Linked DNA regions of Oreochromis niloticus. The protein of the gene in region 1 purifies or fractionates together with the protein of each later gene. This does not show direct contact. Links are inferred from orthologs where the notes say so. Each region holds a gene or a part of one and is shown in the gene's direction. Other genes may lie near its edges.

Evidence for each region.
Region 2: the proteins of cebpb (region 1) and smarcc1a purify together in Homo sapiens (affinity purification with western blotting; 3 studies listed by BioGRID, with this or other methods). This does not show direct contact. The link is inferred for Oreochromis niloticus from reciprocal best matches to the Homo sapiens genes CEBPB and SMARCC1.

The regions. Positions count from the first base shown.
Region 1 is NC_031984.2:10,008,687-10,014,791, forward strand, and holds cebpb (CCAAT/enhancer-binding protein beta), read left to right. Parts: upstream 1-3,998; 5' UTR 3,999-4,179; coding exon 4,180-5,061; 3' UTR 5,062-5,568; downstream 5,569-6,105. UniProt on the Homo sapiens protein: Important transcription factor regulating the expression of genes involved in immune and inflammatory responses. Also plays a significant role in adipogenesis, as well as in the gluconeogenic pathway, liver regeneration, and hematopoiesis.
Region 2 is NC_031976.2:31,814,604-31,822,258, reverse strand, and holds the start of smarcc1a (SWI/SNF complex subunit SMARCC1), read left to right. Parts: upstream 1-4,632; 5' UTR 4,633-4,710; coding exon 4,711-4,896; intron 4,897-7,132; coding exon 7,133-7,252; intron 7,253-7,349; coding exon 7,350-7,435; intron 7,436-7,655. Other genes in the region: fucolectin-1, read right to left, coding at 902-1,056, 1,404-1,689, 2,361-2,424. UniProt on the Homo sapiens protein: Involved in transcriptional activation and repression of select genes by chromatin remodeling (alteration of DNA-nucleosome topology).

The DNA.
Region 1 (6,105 bases):
TTAGGAGAGGAAGTGAAACATATTTCTCTGTAACACCTGAACTTCCTCAGAATATAATTCCTTCTTACTGGGTTATGATACATTTCGTCTAATAAAATATTTCTGATAACTTTGTTTGTACACCTACTATGACAAAAGTCAATTATTGTCAGTCTGGGAGAAGTCCTAGAGTACACAATGTCTTCTTTAATCATTGATCTCAGAGGGACCTAGATGGCTCTTGTCAATGTTTTATAGCTCTTAGCAGTGCATCCTAACTTGAACTTTTCTCGGTACACCTCAGGCTGTAATAGATTACCTTTCCAATCCATAAAATGAGCTACATCCGTACACAGATATCGTACCAAGTCTAATGCATCTGGTGTTCCACGCAGGTGTGTTGTGTGGACAAAAAATATGGCTATAGATTCATTTCCAGTAGAGAATGACCTGCTGATAGAAATCTGTTTGACCCCTTTTTCCAAAAATCACACTGGGAATAATGATCAAAAGTAGTGTCTGTTCAGAATCAAGGCTCTAAACCATCTCAGTTTGAAGTACTATTCGTAATATAAAAAACAATGGCATTAGCCCCAACATCTTTATAATTTTTAACCATATCACTTACTAATGTTACATTTATGCCTCCAATGGTGTAGCGGTTAACACGTTTGCTTAGCAAGAAAATTTGGCTGGCTCAATTAAAGCCAGAAACAGCCATCCATTTTGGAGTGTGTGTCCATAAGCACATCTGTTGTAATAAATAAATAAATAAATAAGCATTAAAAACCTATGCCAAATCAAACACATGGTGCTATGTGGCAACAGAGTAGCTGAAAGCTGCTTTTGTTGTTTTGCTATGTCCCTTTGCAGCAATCAGTTTAAAATGAATATTTTGAACTGGTTTATATTTCTTATACCAACACAAATATTCCTATTTTCTGTTCCTATCTCATCCGTATAAATCCATAACATTTCATTTCCTTTTAAATGTGTATTACATCTTGACTGCAGGGGGGACTCATGCAGAGCCAGTATCTCACATTTATTTATATTCAGCTAGAGACCTGAGGCTTTGGGGAAGTGGTTGATCACATGGAAGGTAAAAGGGAGTTAATGAGTTCATTTTTCAGAAAGAGGGTTGTGTCATCTCACTTTTTTGACACATCGTGAAATTTTAAACCAAAACCTTCATGACTCAGTTGGTTTTAACAGGACATAAAAACTTCACACCTATAGAACTTTTTATGTATCAGTTAGTGGTTTTAGATCCACAGAATAAGATAAATTCAACTGGGGTTTCTCAAGGGTCTGTCCTCGGTCCCTTACTCCTTAACCTTTACATGGTTCTGCTTGTTACTATCATAAAGAATCATAATATATCCTGCCATTCCTACACAGATGATGTACATTTGTACTCAGCATTTTCCTCTGATGATCTTACCTGCACTGATGACATTAACTGCTGGATGCCTCCAAACCTTTTAGAACAGAAACAACACAGAGACAGAAAAATGTGATCATATTTGTCATCCCTTTCTCTGAAATACAGTGTGAAAAACAGGAATTTTACCATTTTGGACAGTGTTCTCAGTTTTGATGATCATGTTGATATTCTATTATCATATCATGCACTGTAGATCTATGTGTGTTTGTTTTTTATCTTGGATGTTAGGCACTCTGAGAAATCTGACCTTTTGTAATCTGTTTTTTCATCACACTTAAGCCTTCACTGCAACTATGTGTAATCATAGACAGCATCTCGGCAAACATAATCAACAAAAGTGTTAAGCTGCTAAATCCTTCAGGTATTCCTCTGTTGACCCCAAATCTTGAGCAAGTGCCACGTCACTGCTGAAAACAGGAACAGGTGTTACAGTTACATCTGTCACCTGTGATGCTTCAGCTGCGTATGAGGTTGCCAGTATATGCTCAGGTAAGGTGTCTTAACGGTTCATTGGTTATTTAAAAAATAATGTGACACATTATAAGATTTAAAATAACATGTGACAGGTAATCCCTCTGATCCCCAAAGAGGAAAAATTCAAACCTAGAGATGTTTGTGTGGGAAATCCCAGTAGATCAGTAGTTTCTGAAATATTCAGACCAGCCACATTTAAAGTCATTTTAAAACACCTTTCTTCCACATTCTGATGCTCAGTTTGAACTTCAATAGGTCATCTCGACCATGTCTACATGCATAAATACACTGACTGATTAGATGTGTGCGTTAACGAGCGGTTGAACAGGTGTACCTAATAAAGTGGTCAGTAAGTGTGTATTCTGCTACAAATATGTCAGTGTATGCACAAACAGTCACTGGGAGCCAAAAGCTCATACTTCAGACAGTTCTTCTTAGTCTTGATGACGTCGGTACCAGGGGAAATCCTTATATGGTCTTCTCAACCTCACCCCTGATATTCAAATATTTACCAGGAACAGCCAATCAGAAGAAAGTTGGATTAAGTCGAGCGAGAAGGAAGCTAAACAGCTTGTTTCAGACAGTGGGCGAAGGGAGACTTCTCTAGTAGCAGTCCAAACATGAAAATACAAAGCTTGGAATTAGTATAACAGGTTCCCTTTAATCTGAAAAAGAGACATAAATGAGATTTTTACGGTAAATGCGCCCAGTTTCCGCCATGTGATTGGCGGATTAAATATTTGTCCTAGCTGTAGAAGAAGTGTACCTAATAATGTGGGGAAACGGTGATAGATAGGTTTTTAAAAAGAGGCAGCCAAAGTGTTTCACAAATTAGTAACCACTCAGCTATGGGTGTGTGTAAAAGTCTGTCCTTTTACATAAATCTTATTTTAGTAAACTTGAAACAAGTGGATAGTTCTTTTGAATGTAAAAAAATTTTCACAGTGTGTTTATACTCAGAGAGAAAATGTGTATACGTTATTATTCAGTGATTTAACAGCTCCGGCCTACTTGAGATCAGATTGGATGTTGGCCAGGAACTCAAAACCTCGGTTTTGAGTCAGTTATAATGACTCTTGTCACCAGAAGGTGGCAGTAAGACTTAATCCATAACTATGTCTCTTAACTTTGCTGCTTTTGTGTACTGTTCACACAGCATCTCGGGTTTCTTACAAGTCGATCCCCCCACCACCCCAACACACACACCACCACCACCACCACCATCTCCGGTTCTCCATCATAGGACCTTTTTTGGGAATTCTTTCCTTATCGGAATTGCATGTCTAAGAAAACAGAGAGTGCTGACTGTAAATCCAATTCAGAGGCCACGTGTGACTGGTAACACTGGGATGTTGGGCTTTATTCTAGATTGTATGTTCTGGGAGAAGTGACATATTTGCACAGTGAGCCTGGGTTCAGCCGTGGACCCACTGGACTGTCATAAACCAAACTCACTAAATTTCTCATTACACCCACCTTGACCCTGATACAGTGCTGGAAGAGATGTATCATCTTGTAGGGGTCTACCACAGAACAGCATACTGGTTTAATCTAGTCAGCTCAAAGGAAACAGCTGTCAGGGGCTGCGCTTATGAGTATCGTTGTTATGAGACGATTACGCACGAAGTTAGAAAATGGTAAACATGCCGAGTGGAATTTTTCCATTATTGTCGAGTTGATGAGATCTGACTGTAGAGGGCGTGAAGGGACCCGATGTCAAAACACTCAAAGAATTCCTAACGTATGGTTTTGTTTCGTTATTGCGCTCTTGGTTAGGTACTCACCGTTGTGCGTTTATATTTTCACTTTTATTTTGCTTTTTAAGTTAAGTTTCGTTTGTTTTAAAATCATACAAATGATTGCATTTCCTATCTTGACACTCCTGCTGTAGCCAAGTGCCACAATACCACCAAACAAACAGGGAAGGGGGAGAAAGAGAGAAAAAACCGCTTAAGTGCTTAAGTTCACTTTTTATTGTGTTCAAACGCAGTTCAGTGTGCCAAAGATCCTCGAAAAACAGCACAGGTTGTCCACTTGCCTTGCACGTCACATACCTGAACTCCGCCCCTTGCTAGAAAAAATAAAACCCCCCGAGACAGGAAGAACCTGTCAATTCCTCTCACTCCATGAGCACAAGTTCTTCAAAGTAGTTTACTGCATGTTGTCACGGGAGCTATAGACTCACCACATTCAGACGCATTTCACAGCTCAACCCAAACCACTCAGGGCGTCTCACCTCAGCCCTCCATGCTTCTGCAATCCGGCGGGTGTTAAGATCCATGGAAGTGGCCGGCTTCTACGAGGAGGGCAGCTTTGCTATCCACAGTAGAGACAGCGTTATCAGCCCCATCGGCGGCGGCTCATATTGGAGGCTCGGTGACTCGATGACGGAGCTGGGCATTGAAGAGCGGGAGAGAGCGATAGACTTCAGTGTTTACCTGGACTCAGCTTTGCACTACCCGCAGCTGGCGGCGCAGACGCAGCAGCAGCAGGGGGACGTTTTCTCAGATTTCTTGGCAGAGAACAAGAGAAGAGTTGCAGCTTTGCAGAACTACAAGAACTACTCGCTACTGAACGAGCTGGAGACGAGCCAGTGCGACAACCTGAGGGACCCCAGGGAGCCCTACGCGCTAGGTTACCCGGAGCTGCAGGAAACCCGCGTGGATAGCGTGCTGAGCCCTGAACTCGGGAGCCGCTACAGAGCTGCTGCTGCTGCTGTTGCCGCCGACAGAGAAGACAGTCAGGAAGACGCAAAGATGGAGAACGGCTCGTCTGCTTTTGACATGAGGTCCTACATTCATTACCAGTCCACTAGTGGTAGTCTCGGAAACATCTCCACTGCGTCCTCGACTTGTTCCAGCCCGCCCGGCACACCTGCCCCGTCAGGTAAAAGCAGATCACCATCGCACAGTGGCAAAATGTCCAGCGGGAAGTCAAAGAAACGCCTGGACAAGGACAGTGAAGAGTACAGGCTGAGGCGGGAGAGGAACAACCTCGCCGTGAGGAAGAGCAGGGACAAAGCCAAAATGCGCAACTTGGAGACTCAACACAAAGTGCTGGAACTGGCCGCAGAGAACGATCGTTTACAAAAGCGAGTGGAGCAGCTGTCCAGAGAGCTGGCCACCCTGCGCAACCTGCTCTCTGCCACCGGACAGTGTTAAAACACACACACACACATTCACACACCGGAGACTCTGCACGGATCTCCGTGCTGTTGTCTGATCATCGGTGGACTTTAGAGCCGAAAGGGAATCCACTGTGCTGAAAACGGTACGCTTCACAGGTGAAGACGGCGACCACCAGTTTACAAGGACACTTTGAATGGGACTGAAGGAGTGGGTGCATGTATTGCGCAATCATTCACGACTCTTCACATGTCACCTTAGCTTTATTCTCAGATGTGATTTTTTTTTTTTCTTTTTGTGTGTGTGTATGCAGTATTTCTGTGCAGGTTTTACATACATGCGAGTGAATTTCTACATTTTTTGTGTGTATCTGGAGCAGTGGTTGTCAAGGGAAGAGTTGTGCTGCAGTGAAATGATGCAACTCTTTGTAATAGTATTGGCAATGAATGAAATAAGTCTAATTATTTAATATTGAAAGGTGAAATGCTTTAATTGTACTTGATATTTTATTGAATTAAACAGATTTATACTTTGTTTAAACAATTTCACTTGTAAATCTCCTTTTTTTGTCCCTTTGAGGCAGGTGAAGGCTCAGACAGACAGAAAGGGGCGTTTGCTTGTCTAATGCTCACACTCATCATAGACTGACTGTGTAATACCACATATTTCTCTTACAACATATTGCAGATAAGAAACTGGCTCAGCGGCAAAGCATATTCCTAATCTTTTAATTGAGGCCTGCGTACTGAAATACACCCCAAAAGAAACACGGAGCAGGAATTTGACGTTTCTTCTTGGAGATGGAGGACATTTAAAAAAAAACAAAAGAAAGAAACATTACATTATATTTCAAGTATTTGCTCATGTGGTGTATTCATGAAGCAGAAAATGGCACCCAGTGGTTTGATCAGAAGGTAAATAGAGAAAAATTGACAAATAAAATAGAAAGATGATTTTTATTCCTGAAAATTAAGAAAAAAAAATGCTCTTTGGGTAAATCTGAAAGCTGTAGCACTTCTGTTTACTTAATGATTGGAAGAAAAGTTCTCATATCCTGAAATACATCCAGGCAATTTATGA
Region 2 (7,655 bases), on another chromosome or scaffold:
ACCAGTAAATCTAGAGCCTTCCTTTCAAGCTCATCTATGTTTTCATTAGAATCAAAGATTGCAGCGTTCACTTTATTGCTAGAGCCACGCCACTTCTCCAATAACTGGACAGTAGTGAAAATATATGCTCTGACTTCTGATAATATTCCCTAATGGAATAATTTTTCTGTGAGCGAAAAACTTGTTGTTTACGTGACCAGATTAGGATTTGTCAGATAACTATAATTTTCAACACATTTCTCTTCATGTCAGTGTTGTATTCTAGAAATGAGAAGTTACTTTTGTAAAATGTTTTGATCAGAGTTACCAAATGCAGTAACGTCCAACAACATACGAGTACAGAGATGAGTCCGCTCCCAGAGACAATAAAGAGATCATTAGTAACCTTTGCTAGTCCTGTTTCTATGCTTTTGAATTATGAATCCTATTTTTTCTTTTTAGGCTGGACAAGAAAGTTGGATCAAGTAAAGGCTTCTGAATTAATGATTTAAATACTTCCACCTTAAAAGCCTTTAGCTTCTTAAAAAAAGATGAACTGATCATATTTAAAATCAAAGTATTGATTAATGATAAAGAGTTCTTTATAGGAATGTGGGCTAACAGATGTATTGATAGTGTCACTGAAGGCCTTACTGAAGTTAGTTCATAGAAATCAATAGGAAATAGTGCTGTCAGCGTTAATCTCGTTTATACAATACAATAGTATTTCTTTTTTTTGTTTTAATTTAAATTAAAAAAATTCATGAAGCAAACTCTTTGTCATCATGGTTACAGTGATGAACAGTAATGATAATAAATATCTATTATTAAACTGCTTTAATATCAGCTTGAAAGTTTGGATACCAGAGTTTGGCGATAGAGCTGCATACCGTGCAGCTCATGTAGTAGTTCACATTCTCACCAGTTGGAGCGTGATATCCGTAGACTTCCACTTCACAGAGTGCGAGGATCCTTTGTGAACCAGGAAGACTCAAAGTTACATAACGCCCCTCCACACGACCAGCGAAATTCACAGTGTAGGATTTGCCTGCACCAACTTCTGAAATTTTTCCAACCCTAACAAAAAGTGTGTGAGAAAATACAAGTTACCATGGCAGCAAATATCAGAACATTTGATAGTCAGCGTGATCATTTTCAATTAGTGGAATTTGCTGACAAAATTTACAAAAACTGTAACCTGATATTCTCTATTTTAATATATAATAGGATGATTTAATATAGGAATCTATTATAGGGAGTGCCAATAAAAAGAATATGGGCAGCTAACAATGTCAGTCCTACAGCAACCTCTCCTGTTGCCGTTCAGGAAAAACAGAAAGAAACAAACACTGCAAAGGTAAAAATGAGTAAAATGCCAAATCACAACATTGTTGCTAATTCCTTATTGCTCTATATTTACTAACTTTGGGTTTATTAAGCCATCATTATTCAAAGAGTTGCCTATGTGGATCTCCAGCCCATTGAGCCTTTCATGACAGCAGTCTCCTCTGTTGGTGATGGTGAGGGAAGTGACAATGTAGGGCTCGAGCAAGTCCACTCTCCACCAGGGGTCGGTCTGTTGATTGGTGTGCGAACATGATCCATGGCGAAGGTCAGAATCACGGTTTCCATCAATTGCAGCGTAGGCAGCCGACAATACCTCATTGATACGGGTTGACTGGGTTGCTTTGCCACGCAGGGCCACATTTTCTGGAAATAGCAGAATGCAAATGAAAGATATCATGGAAGGACATGCATTCAAGCAAGCAGCTGAAAATGAGCAGCCATTCAAATGTACCTCATTTAGTCACTTCCTCATGTAGTTAGCTTGATAACTCTGTTTACAGTAATACAGTGACTGTAGTATATGAACATATTTGGATAGGCATATTTGGTAGAGCTGCACAATTATCAGCAAACACAACTGGTTAGTTTGCTTAGTCAGCAAAGACTACCTATGATTCAAAATGATTACATAAGATGCTGAATTTGGTGAGCCAAAAGAATGGTTCGAAAGAATGTTCTTACTGTAGAAACTGAAAAACTGACTCCTTAATGTGTTTTTTGGAAGGTTTTTTTTGACATCCACATCTCACGTAAGACAATGATGTTGCTTAAATGTCTCATTTAATAATTTGCATACTTGTGGTAAAGGAAAAATGTTTTTTCTTACTTACATGAAACATTCAGCTCTAAACTCTAGAAACTGCAGTGACTGCAAATAACTAAGCATATTATACTTTGTTAAGTTTCTGTTACTTCACTCTCTATCTCTACCTGGTGATAAACACGTTGCCTCTTATTATTACACTTCTTTTTTTTTACACATAACTACTTTTCCTTACAAAAAAAGAGTCCATATACATCCAGATCATACTTACGATAGGTGCGTGCTGAGGACATCCCCAGGAGAAGGAGCAAAACCAGTGCTGAAATGTGTTTCATTGTTCCTACTGTTCACACTGAGAAAATAGAAACTTACATATTTTTTAAAGCCTAAACTAAACTTAAACAAAAATAAAACGCATTTATTTAAAGTAAAAACAAAGAGTGACCCTCTTAACCCCCTTAGAGGATATTATACGTCTTTAAATGAAAACTACATACCTTATAATCAGACGCAGATGAGGAGCTGCTGTTAAGGATTGTTACTTATATTCACATCCAACCAGGGCACATGAGCTTTGTTTTTCAATAAGCCACCGAGGACTTTGTCCTTTTCCTTATAGAGATAAGGCTCATTTCAGCTACCAAACAAGATAGGGTATTGGCAGTTCCTGATGTTTTGGAAAAATGCATTGGTAAATGTATCTCTAAGGTTTATGGTACCATGCGTACTAAAACGTAAAAAGGAAAAATGATGTAAAAATAGAAAAAGTGGCAAGATTAATAAAAACAAGAACAAAACATTTCACAAAGACTTTAGAAAAAGTAAAATGGGTTTCATATACTCAAGCCTATCTCAAGTGGGTTAAATCGTAAAGTCAATCTGACCCCAACCTTAGTAATAAACTGACTCGCTTCTGGTATATTCAGTTTTCAACAAATATAAGCAAAATATGAAAATTTATGCTGAATATGCCACACTATTGCACTATTGTAATTTATTCTCATTTATAGGGCCGTGCTAATATTCTTGAAGCAAAAAAAGAGCTCCTGTTCCACTCCCTGTGCTTCGTGTACAGCTTTTTCTGTTGAATATAAAGGATTTTGCTCACTAATCTACCAGATATTTATCAGCTGGGGTTTGAAATTCCTAGTACTGGTATCATAAAGTGCCGTTATCAGCTCAGCTTGGATTTAAACAGTACACCCCTTTTACTGGGCACATGCCACATTTTTTATCTCTTGTGCTTGATTAAACTTGTGATGGGTTTTAACAAACTACTTTTTTTTTTAAATTAGTGGATTTAATTAGACTAACAGAAAGAGAGAAATGTAGAATGTAGTGCAATTTTACTGTTCAACCAAAAACAAATAAAGTAAATCAATAAAAAATAAAATAACCATTTCACCACTTTTTGGAAACACTTTCTTAACTTTTAGATGATATGTTAATGTACTTTATTTACAAGAAGTAAACCTATGTGAAGACAGCTTTATTCTCTTATTCTTGAACAGACATAGATAGATAGTTGCTGAAATCTACATGTTATTGAGGTTTTATTTACATCACGGTGTAGTCATGTAAACTTGCTCCACCTCCTGGCTCTGTACAGACACAGGCACAAACTAAGCTGAAAAGAGTCTTGTATTACCTGACAAAAAGTAATCTCTCTTGTTTGTGCAAGAGGTTAAATCTGACCAAAGCTGGTAGGCAAAAAAAGTGTCACCACAAGATGGCGCCATCCTGACTGCTGCTCGCAAACAGTCAAGTTTGTCTGTCAAATTACATGAAAATAGTTCATTTATACTGCACCAGTATAGACAATAGCTTTGAAAAGTAAGAGTGCTAATTTAGTACATATAACCCCCCCTCCAAAAAAGTAAGACTGAACTCTCATATAAGTCTCATATTATGTTTGAGTAGTTAAAGCAGGGAAAAAAATCTGTAAGCAACACCAAAAAAATTATGTGAATTAGTTTACATACAACTTTCTGTTTTGTTACTATAATGTGGCTACTTGGATCTTGCTGGCAAAAACACATTCACTGGATTATAAAAGTTCATACGAAGATTCAAATCTATATGTTGCAGGAAAAAGTATCAAACCACATGAGAACAACGGACAAGAGTAATATAATAATAATGATGATAATCAAATGAATGAATAAATTTTAGACTTTAATCTTAGATTTTTTTAAACAGTTTTTTTTCCTCTTAGTTTTGTGAATTTATAACCATAAAGAGTACAAGATTTTTCTTTAAAAATGTACTATTTTAATTTACGTTTTTTGAAATTTTTGACTTGAATTTTGGAAATTGATATTTTGTACTCCGCCAAATAACTTATAATGGCTATTATTAAGTTATTATATCAACCCGGTCCCCCCTTTTTTTTATTTTACATACCATGGCCCCAATACGCCGTCTTACTTTTAACACAAACTACCTAAAAAAAAACAGGAATAACCTTCTCAGGTGCCTACATATCCCATGGACCATCTGATATTCAGGCTCGCGAGACTTCAAAATGCTCAACACGTTTGCGGCTGCGCAATGTCATTCGAAAACTTGCACGCTGAGGGACGCCGTGGAGGAGAAAGACAACGCAGCGAACAAAACACACAATGGCGACGGCGGCGACAACGGCAGGCGGAACGGGCTCGGGCGGACCGACCACTGGCCCCGTCGGTGGTTTAACCGCAGTGGGACGAAAGAAAGATGGTGGTCCGTCTGCGAAATTTTGGGAAAGTTCAGACACGATATCCCAGCTGGAGACTGTGCGACTCTGGATCGGAAAGCACTACAAGAAGGTAAGCTAGCTGCCCGCTCCTCCATTGATTTCTATGAAGGCCCGCGTCTCGCTAGCACAAAGGGGCGCTCATGTTTTAGTTAGCTGCAGCCACCCAGAGCTAAGTAGAGTTAAGTTTTAAGAGTGCTTCTATATAATTTTGTTTGGGAGTTCACCGTCAGTATACTGCCCATTGTCCTAGACCGATAGAGTTATCAGTTCTTGTTTATCAAATAGCTATAGTTAGCTCGCTAACTGCCCATTCAATGTTGCTACTAATATGACGCTCAGGGGGGAAATGTTTACAAACGAGCGACACATAGCCGCGTATAATTTTTTAACCCGTATGTAATAACTTTCTCATTAAAAAGAAATAATAATAAACCAAACTTTCTTATTAGTTTTTCAAAAGGCCCGAGATGCTAACCTGTATGTAAGTCACGGGACATACCATGCAGAACTTATAATATTAGCTAAATAAACCCCAGCCTCCTTTTTATGCCATCTTAAAAGGTACTTTACTTAGAAGATAATTATCTACTTCACTGCGTGCTGTTTGCAGGCCCAGTCCTGTTCCATGCTGTCAGTGTGTTTAGTTTTGTCAACACAGCAGCATAGCACACCGTGCAGGTTGCACTTGCCTACTGAATTAGCCAAACAAAGAATGCTCCTCTTGTCACATCAGGCTCTCATTCAAAACCACTGACACGTTGTGCCCGCTCAAGTTATAGCAGAAACATTATTCAAATGAAATGGCATAGATAAGGGCTTGTGAGTACAGCGTTTACACGCAGATGTATATTACAATATTTAATATATAAACTTGGCTTTTTTTAAGCATATGCACTGTTCAATAAATTTGCCTTTAAGAATAATAAATACATCCTTTTGTTGTTTTTTGTTGTTGTTGTTGTTGTTTTTGCAAAGATATTTATGTGAGTTATTTGAGGCCATATAGCAGTGGAAGGTCTTCCAGCTTTAAATGTACTTTGTTGCTGTTGACTGTGATCTTTCTGGTCAGTGTTTAGTTGTTGTGTTGCATTAATTTTGCATAGACTAAATCTAAAATAAGCCATTGAAACCTTGTGTCATTATTTGGTGATGCAATAGTATATAAATGGGATTCACTAACATTGTCTCTTGGATTACATTGATTTTGCACTGGCTAAACCTTAAAGGATAAAGTCATGACTTGATTTTTAAATTTTTTTGGTCAAGATTGATTCTCTGGAGCAAAAAGATCAGGAAATAAATACCATCCAACTATCCCTCTTGTCCTGCTGGAAACAGGACTTGGATTTCAGGGACGGCAGTCTAAGCAGAAACCTGTTCCCATGCAAGGCAAAAGATATAACAAGTTTAAACAAAAATCATTAGTCTGTTGACTCTCTAGAGCTGCAACTAACAATTATTTTGATAGTCGACTAATCTGCCTAATTATTTCAGTAACTCTTATCTCTGCTTCCTGTAGCCAAACCTCCTGTTCTAGGCTGTAGTACCTCATCTGCTCAAGTCTGCCCACCTGTGAATATCACCCTGTTGTTTTGTCCCCCAGCAAATTAAAATAATGATCCAAGAAACGTTTGAATTTCAAAATAATCAAATGTTTTTTAACATTACTCAATAGTTTTTATATGATTTGGTTCATGAATTCACGATTGGACATGCTCTGGAGAGAGGCTTGCTCTTATCTTTGTGATGATGTTCCCAGCTGCTGATAACCATGCTAATGATGCTCTCCGTCATGACTTAAGCCATCTGAGATGTGCATGAGCCTCTTTACAGGACTAACTTATCTATACCCCACTGCTTAATAATAGTATAGCAAAACAAAACAGAATTGGAGCTCTAGTAAACAACTCTCGTGGCTGCTCATATCATGGTAACAGACTTCTTTTTATTATTTTCTTTTATTACTTAACACATCACAGTAACATAACTTGTGTCGTGTTGTGTTGTATGCAATGTCGTTGTGGGACAGTTTTCCAATTTCATTGTACTATGTATGACTGTGCAATGACAATAAAGAGTTATCTTATTATCAAATGAAGAAGCCCATTCTCAGACTTTTGAGCATTTCTTTGGAATTAATTCATTTAAAAAAAAAAAAATCTAAACCCTTGTAGGTTGTATTTTTCTGTCTTTTGGCCACCTTGATTTGCTTAAAAAAAAAAAAAAAAAAAAGACTGCTAGATGAGATGGGAATCTGTGCCATTGCTATCATGTTACTGATAACTTTTTTCTGTGCCTACTTCCAGTACGTCCAGAATGACTCCCCCTCCAGTAAATCCCTGGCAGGTCTCGTGGTCCAGCTGCTGCATTTCCAGGAAGACGCATTTGGGCGAAGAGTCAACAATCCTGCTCTTACAAAGCTACCTGTAAGCATACAAACATTACATTCTACGAAAATCACCATCACAGTTTAATCCCAAATGGTAAAATGTTCTGTTCTTATGGTTCCTCTCATATCTTCAGGCCAAGTGTTTCCTGGATTTCAAGGCAGGAGGTGCTCTCTGTCACATTCTGGGATCTGTCTACAAGTTTAAGAGTGAGCAAGGCTGGTAAGTTAACTTATGTAACTTAATATGAGCAGATGGGTCTGACATTGATCATTAACTTAAACCCTCCTTTTGAAGTCATTGGTCTTAGAAATATAATTTGAACTATCTCAGTTGTGCATTTTGAAGATAAGCAAAAATCTTAATGGTCTTGTATTTTAGGATGTTGGTTTATGGAGTTAAAAACAAAAAAAAAAAACATTTGCATCAGTTGATGCAAATG